2 linked regions of the Mus musculus genome follow. The protein of the gene in region 1 interacts with the protein of each later gene in a biochemical or structural test. Links are inferred from orthologs where the notes say so. Each region holds a gene or a part of one and is shown in the gene's direction. Other genes may lie near its edges.

Evidence for each region. The genes of interacting proteins can lie anywhere in the genome.
Region 2: the proteins of Pdgfrb (region 1) and Nck2 form a complex in vitro, tested with the Homo sapiens proteins (2 studies listed by BioGRID). The link is inferred for Mus musculus from reciprocal best matches to the Homo sapiens genes PDGFRB and NCK2.

The regions. Positions count from the first base shown.
Region 1 is NC_000084.6:61,072,650-61,076,159, forward strand, and holds part of Pdgfrb (platelet-derived growth factor receptor beta isoform 2 precursor), read left to right. Parts: coding exon 1-113; intron 114-591; coding exon 592-696; intron 697-978; coding exon 979-1,089; intron 1,090-3,510. UniProt on the Homo sapiens protein: Tyrosine-protein kinase that acts as a cell-surface receptor for homodimeric PDGFB and PDGFD and for heterodimers formed by PDGFA and PDGFB, and plays an essential role in the regulation of embryonic development, cell proliferation, survival, differentiation, chemotaxis and migration.
Region 2 is NC_000067.6:43,444,557-43,448,554, forward strand, and holds the start of Nck2 (cytoplasmic protein NCK2), read left to right. Parts: upstream 1-1,194; 5' UTR 1,195-1,471; intron 1,472-3,998. UniProt on the Homo sapiens protein: Adapter protein which associates with tyrosine-phosphorylated growth factor receptors or their cellular substrates. Maintains low levels of EIF2S1 phosphorylation by promoting its dephosphorylation by PP1.

The DNA.
Region 1 (3,510 bases):
ATGGAAGGTCATTGAGTCTGTGAGCTCTGACGGTCATGAGTACATCTACGTGGACCCTGTGCAGTTGCCTTACGACTCCACCTGGGAGCTGCCACGGGACCAGCTTGTTCTGGGTCAGTCCTAAGAGGTGTTAAGCAGCAGTGGGCACACTCAGATTTGCTCCCATCATGGTTGCTACTAGCTAAGGCATAGAGCTGATATCTTGCATCCTCTGGATCTCACTATCCTTTCTATATGGTGAAGATAAGGTGACCCCATAGCACCAAAACTCAGGGATCCCAAGACTGATATGGGACCCCTTCAGGTCAAAGAGGAAGTCCTTTGGATGTAGGCCAGGGAGTCTGAGGCAGGTGCAAAGGAGTTGTGCGTGTCCCTAAGAGACAGGAGGTCTTTCAGGGACTACAGGGGAGGCAGATAGCATGCAGGATCTAGAGGAGACCCAGAGGATGGGAAACTTCCCAAGGGGAGCACAGTAGGGCGGTTGGAGGGATGTGGAGGGTGATCTAAGGGAATATTCCCCAACCTAAATGGGAAATGGGATGAAGCTTGAAGCTTTAGCTTCCAGGAGCTGAGGGTCTCTATGCATCCTAGGACGCACTCTTGGCTCTGGGGCTTTCGGACAGGTGGTGGAGGCCACAGCTCACGGTCTGAGCCATTCGCAGGCCACCATGAAAGTGGCTGTCAAGATGCTGAAATGTGAGTCCACCCGCCCCTTCTTCACACCCGAGGCCTCACTCGGTCCCTCCCTTCCCTGGGCTTTTTGTTTCTTCTGAAGGAGCCTGGCCCTGAGGTTGTGGGACCGAAGGGTGCTTCTTCCTCCTTCTCTCCCCGCCTCCCACCTTCTTCCCTCTCTAATACAGTCCACCCTAGGACACTGGTGGTGTGACAGGATGGGGCAGAGGAAGCAGAGTAGGCCCTGGCAGGGCCTCTATACCACCTCAGTGGCCCACCCAGGCTGAGTCCCTCTCCCCCCTCCAGCGACAGCCAGAAGTAGCGAGAAGCAAGCCTTAATGTCCGAGCTGAAGATTATGAGTCATCTTGGACCCCACCTGAACGTGGTCAACCTGCTGGGGGCCTGCACCAAAGGAGGTACCGAACCCACAACCTGGAGGATTCTGGGGCTCCTCTCTTTCCTGTTCTCCCTCAGTCCACCAGCAACACAGGACACTCCAGCAGAATGTCCACACACCTGCCGCTCAGCGTTCTTATTGCACTGTCCTAGATGGACTTAGTTTCAGGATCTCAGAATCACAACTCCTTCATGATGAAGAGATTCTTCAGGCCGCTAGTTCCTGCAGCTTTAGAATTCAAGTCTTTTATGACTCTTCCTTCCTTCCTTCCTTCCTTCCTTCCTTCCTTCCTTCCTTCCTTCCTTCCTTCCTTCCTCCCTCCCTTCCTTCCTTCCTTCTTTTTTCTCTCTTTCTTTCTCTCTTTCTCTCTCTCTTTCTCTCTTTCTCATTCTTCCTTCTCTCCTTTTTTCCTTCCTTCCTGTCTCCTTCCTGTCTCCTTTCTTTCTTTCTTTCTTTCTTTCTTTCTTTCTTTCTTTCTTTCTTTCTTTCTTATTCTCTCTCTTCCTTCCTCTCTCTCTCTTCCTTCCTTTCTTTCTTCCTTCCTTCCTTCCTTTCTTTCTTTCTTTCTTTCTTTCTTTCTTTCTTTCTTTCTTTCTTTCTTTCTTATTCTCTCTCTTCCTTCCTCTCTTCCTTCCTTCCTTCCTTGCCTGCCTGCCTGTCTGCCTGCCTGCCTGCCTTCATGATGAAGTCTTGCCTGTATGTCAGTGTTCCTGTGTGTGTGTGTGTGTGTGTGTGTGTGTGTGTGTGTGTGTGCGTGCATATGTATGTGTGTCTGGTACTTGAGAAGGCCAGAAGAGGTCATCAGATCCTCTGAAACTGGAGTGACAGATGGTTGTGAGCCAGTGGGTAGGTGCTCGGTATTGAACCAAGGTTGTCTGCATGAACAAGTGCTCCTAACAGCTGACCATCCCTCCCACCTCCTTTTTCATATTTCCACAATACATTTTGAAAACCGTGAGAAAGTAACAGAGCCCATCCATGTACTAACCAGGAACTGGCTTTGTTTACATCAGTGTTGGAAGTCATTCTGCCAACTGCGATGATCTGAGGGCCTGGTTACCCACTGGGCTGTCAACATCGTAATAATCATGAAGTTATTGCCCTTTGCAGCTGCTTGTTGTGAGATCTGGGATTTTCCTCGGTGTTGTGTAATCAGCCTAAATACAGAAGTACATTGCGCATGGACTGTTGTCTGTGCTTGCAATGACCGTATTTCTTTTTTTTTTCTTTTTTTAAAAAAAGAATTCTTGTATCTTTATTCATGAGGGTTCTACTTCTCTTATAGGCCTTTTATATTTCTATCAAGGCAAAACATACTTCATTATAAATAAAGGAGGCAGCTCCCTCCACTTTCTCAAGTAATTGTTTAAAACTAATATTGGAGGAGCTAGAGAAAGCTCCCAAGGAGCCAAAGGGGTCTGCAACCCTGTAGGTGGAACAACAACATGAACCAACCAGTACCCCCGGAGCTCGTGTCTCTAGCTACATATGTATCAGAAGATGGCCCAGTCGGCCATCATTGGGAAGAGAGGCCCCTTGGTCCTGCAAACCCTATATGCCTCAGTACAGGGGAACACCAGGGCCAAGAAGTGGGAGTGGGTGGGCAGGGGAGTGGGGGCGGGGGAGGAGAGTCTGGGGGACTCCTGGGATAGCATTTGAATGCAAATGAAGAAAACACCCAATCAAAAGTATAAATTAATCAAAAACAACCCCTAATATTATATTCATACTTAAATGTTTGACAGAATTCACCAGTAAAGATATTAGACTTAGAATTTTCTTGGGATTTTATTTGGGGAACAGTAGAGAGACCGAATCTATGTACGAATTGTCCTGGAACTTGCTATATTCACCAAAATGGCCACAAACTCACTGAGACATGTCTGCTGAAAGCTGGAATTAGTATTGTGCAAGCCCCAGCTTGGAAGATTTTTTTTTAATTTTTTAAAATTAGGTTATTTTCTTCATCTACACCTCCAACGCTATCCCAAAAGTCCCCCACACCCTCCCCCACACTCCCCCACCCACCCACTCCCACCCCCTGGCCCCGGCGTTCCCCTGTACTGAGGCACATAAAGTTCACAAGACCAATGGGCCTCTCTTTCCAATGATGGCCGACTAAGCCATCCTCTGATACATATGCAGCTAGAGACACGAGCTCTGGGGGGTACTGGCTAGTTCACATTGTTGTTCCACCTATAGGGTTGCAGACCCCTTCAGCTCACTGGGTACTCTCTCTAGCTCCTCCATTAGGGGCCCTGTGTTCCATCCAATAGCTGACTGTGAGCATCCACTTCTGTGTTTGCTGGGCCCTGGCATAGCCTCACAAGAGGCAGCTATATCAGGGGCAATGACCGTATTTCAAAAGTGTTATTTTCATCTGTTAGATGGCTCTCAGTGCATTGAACTTAAGTGTAATCAGCAAATTGCACTAACAGTC
Region 2 (3,998 bases), on another chromosome or scaffold:
GCCTTCATTGTTGTAAAGCTAGATAGTAACAAAGATGAGGTCTGTAACAAAGAACGGATGAAGCTAGCATCTCCGACTGGAAGAGACTGTTGGGTGTGCTGATTTTGTACAGGATGCCTCCTAGTGCCCTCGTGTCAGGCTACGTGCCAGGTACTTAACATAGAAGGCAGGTAAACATCTCATGTGATAAAGCCGAGGAAGTTGTGAAACACCTGTGTAAGGTGACACAGTTCAGGAGCCTACGGTCAATGGCTGCGAGGACTATAGCCAAGCTTCCTCACGTTACTTATGCCTGGGAACTTCCTATAAGAAGGCAGGCAACTTTTCTTTCTTTCTTTTTCTTTTTTTGTTACGTAGGGTGAATTGTTTCTGCCTTAATAAGGAGGAAACAAGGGCTAGGGTTGAATCTCATTAACATAAATGTGAGTCGTCCGACCTGAAAGCGGAATTTATTTGAATATCAGGGGTTCCTTTGGGGTATAAGGAGCGAAGGAGCTTGGAGAAGAAACCTCTGGATCCAGTCCTTCTCTTCGATCCAGGGTTCTAGCTTTCCAAGTTTGCTTATAGGTTAGCTACTACTCAAGTCTGGGAGAGCAAGGTTTCCTTCTAAAGCTTTCTCAGCCTCCTGTACTAAAGAATTCCTGGGCTCTAATAAACTGGCCAGGACGCTGCGGAGGCAGCTGAGGTCGGGTTTCCTCTCCTCCCCCACTAGGAAGTGGTCCCGCCTGGAGGTTGGGGGTGGGGGGGATGGAGTAAAAAAGTGTCTGGATGGGAAAGTAAATAAATGCAAGGCAAATAAATAAAGAAAATGCCCACAAGCAATTACTGGGAGGAAGTGACATTTTTATGTAAGTCACTTTTCTGACAGACACCAGGCCTGTTTGGCTGAGAGTGCCGTGGGAATGCTTGGGGGGCGGGGTAGGGAGGTCGCTGTAAGGCTCCCGACGCACAGCCGGGTGCGGAGACCACCCGGTCTCGTGGGCTGCAAGTGGCACCTCCTTATCCCTAGCAGCCCCTCCCGGGTGCCCCCAGCTCCAATCTAGAGCGGGTTACGGCTTGAAGCCCCCAGGCGGCGCTTTCCCGAGGCCTGGCTGGGACTCCCAGGTGGGTCCCCCGCCCCGCGTGCGCCGGGCTGGGCCGGCCCCTGGGCGGCGTCACGGCAGCCAGGGAGGAGCGCGGGCGGGGAGCGCGCGGAGGCGGGCGCTGCGCGGGAGGGTCGCCGCCGCGGATCGCAGGCCGGTGCGCGCGGCCGAGCGGGCGGCGGCGGCGACGGTGGTGGTGAGGAGGGCTCGGCGGCAGGCAGGCTCGGGGCTCCCGGGCCGGCGGGGTCCGCCGGGTCCAATTGCGTCCGCTTGGTGGCGGGAGGAGGGAGCGGTGCAGACAAAGAGCGGCATCTGGGCGGGCGCAGCGCGGCCGCCGCCCCGGGACTCGCGCTGCTGCCCTCCGGCCTCGGCGTGCACTGTGCGGCGAGGTAAGGCGATGGCGGGGGCTGCAAACTTGGGCCGGTCCGTGGAGTTGGAAGAGAGGGGCGAGCGGGCCGCGGCCGCCCGGGGAGGGCCAGGGAGCGCGTACCCCTGCGTACCCGGCCGGTGCCCTCAGCCCCGCCGCGGCCTGGCGTCCCCGGGCACCCGCACCTCGGATACACACACCTTCCTGCGAGCCCTCGCCTCCCTCTGCCTGGGGCTGGCGTGGGGGTGGGGCGCCCTCCGCGGGCGGACTCCGGGGACCAAGGACCCAAAGCCCTCGGGAACACTAGCAGCCCTGGCCTGTGGGCGGGCGTGGGACCGAACAGTGGCCAGGTCGCCGGGCGCGCGTGCCTGGGAAGAATAGCCTGGGATCTGAGGGCCACAGCGCTAGGAAGCGGGAGGCTGCGATGGCCGGGGAGAACTTCCAGTATTTAGAACTATTCGTGATCCGGCACAAAGCTGCTGTCACGTTCCATAAAGGAGGTCCTTGCCTCGGCGCAGGGCGCTTTTGTGCCTGGTTCCTTCCAGTCCCTGCGCCCGGTCCCGCATTTCCAAGACTTAAACCTCCTCAACCAAAGTTTTTCCCGGTTGCTCTGCCCCCTCAGTTTATTTATTCAGGGCGATTTAAGCAAGTGGTTCTGCAAGAATTTGATGTGTGACTTTTAATGCCCCGGTGGCACCTCCCTTTTGAGCGCTGTTAGCTTGGCATTGTGTGGAGAGGTTTGATTTGCAAAACGCTGTTATTTATACACAACAGCGATCCTCCCGGAAGGTGTGCGCGGGTGGTGGTTAATGGATAGCAGAGGTGACTTACAGTAGTATTGTGAACAGCTTGGGGACACAGCTGGGTGCCAAGTGGAGTGGGCCCTGCCACCCTAACCCATTCAGGTTGGCCGCTTCCTCCTTATTTGGCTCTCCTTATTTTGCTAACAGGTTTAAGGCCAGTCTTGCCAAGTTTGCGTCTGTGTGTGGGATGAACAGGTCCGAGTTTGGGCTGGAGGTGCACAGGCCTGCTCCTTGGTTGACCCAAAAAGAAACAGCCCGTTGGCCAGTGGGCGTGGCTTGCTGGTATCCTCCCCTGGAGACTTCTCTGCTCCTCTCCCAATACAGGCTTTTCTGCAGAGATTTTGAGGAGGAATGAGAATAATTTTGGGTGTGTTTCCAGCCTGGGTTTTTTTTTTTTTTTTTTTTTTTGGTATAGTTAGCAACTGTGGTTTTTCTAGTCTAAAGGTCACTACTTTATCAGAACATCTCAACTGTGCTGTGGGCACTCCCTCCATTCACTTTCCAAGTGTTTATAGATACAGAGGTAGAAACCGGACTTTCTCGTGCATGTGCCTGGTTTATGTAGCGAAGGCAGCCAGTGAACACAATGGAGAAAGTGCACTTTAGACAGATAAGGTTTTACACCTTCGGGTCTTTCCTAAGTGACCACAAGTGACAATCCTCCCTTAAACTTTCTCACCTCCTGGTAGGTTAGCGTAGTTTTGATTGAAGAACGTAAAGGTCCCAGTGACCTGAAGCTGAAATGAGAACTTTGTGCAGCTGTAAAGCTTTGACTTACAGCTTACTGCCTGTCTTGCTCTCAGTTTCTTACACGTGCTTGAACAGAGCCCCAGTTTCAGGGTTGGAAGTTGCTATGTGAGCTCTGGACACTTGATAGGCGATTTGCCCACCGATGGAGAGACGACTGACCCCCTTTAAAATGGGTCGAACTTATAAAAGGTGGTTTCCAACTCCTTGTAGGCTCTTCAGTCCATTTCCAGGCTTTCAGTTTTGCTTTCCCCATGGGTCCTTGCTTCAGTCTTCTTCCTCCCTTTCTCTTTGATCCGGGCTTATTCCTGACCTCTGTCTTGAACATTGGGGTACTGAACATTGCTGACAAACAGCAGCACCCAGGTGTTTGAGAAATGTGCTCTCATCCTTGCTAAATCTCTCCAGAGCTTTCCTTGTTGGAGCAGACCGAATGACCCCTTGAAAACAGCCCGATAGTCACTGATTGCATAGTGACCTGTAGTCCTTTATTTGATCATTTGCATTAGCTTAATTTGCCCTGGCAAGACTGGGCTTGGTTGCTTTGTAGGGCACACATGCTTCTAACTGACTGGCTTGCAGTGTGCACTGGGGCTGATGAGGCTCGTGGAAATGATTTTCTGATGTTCATAATGAGCCTTAATGACTGAAGAATTCAAGACTGCTTGTTGCAAGTGCAGAGCAGTGTAGGGAACAGTGGTTGGGGAAACTTGTAAGCTAACATTTCTTACAAAAGGACCGGGAAGCTTCCCATAGAGACTTAGGAAATTCATTTTCCCATCCAGAGGGACTTCAAATGTTGCTTTGGAATTGTTTCTCTTTCCTAAAAAAATGAGTGATAGAAACATTTCTCAAGGTGTTTTCAAAGGACATATGTGAAAAAACAATGATGCCATTTGTGTGCTGTTCTGTGTAAGTTAGGCAGCCTTTTAAAACAAGCTATCAGAGGTATGCAGCCATGGTGTTTTTTGTTTTTTTTTTGTTTGTTTGTTTGTTTGT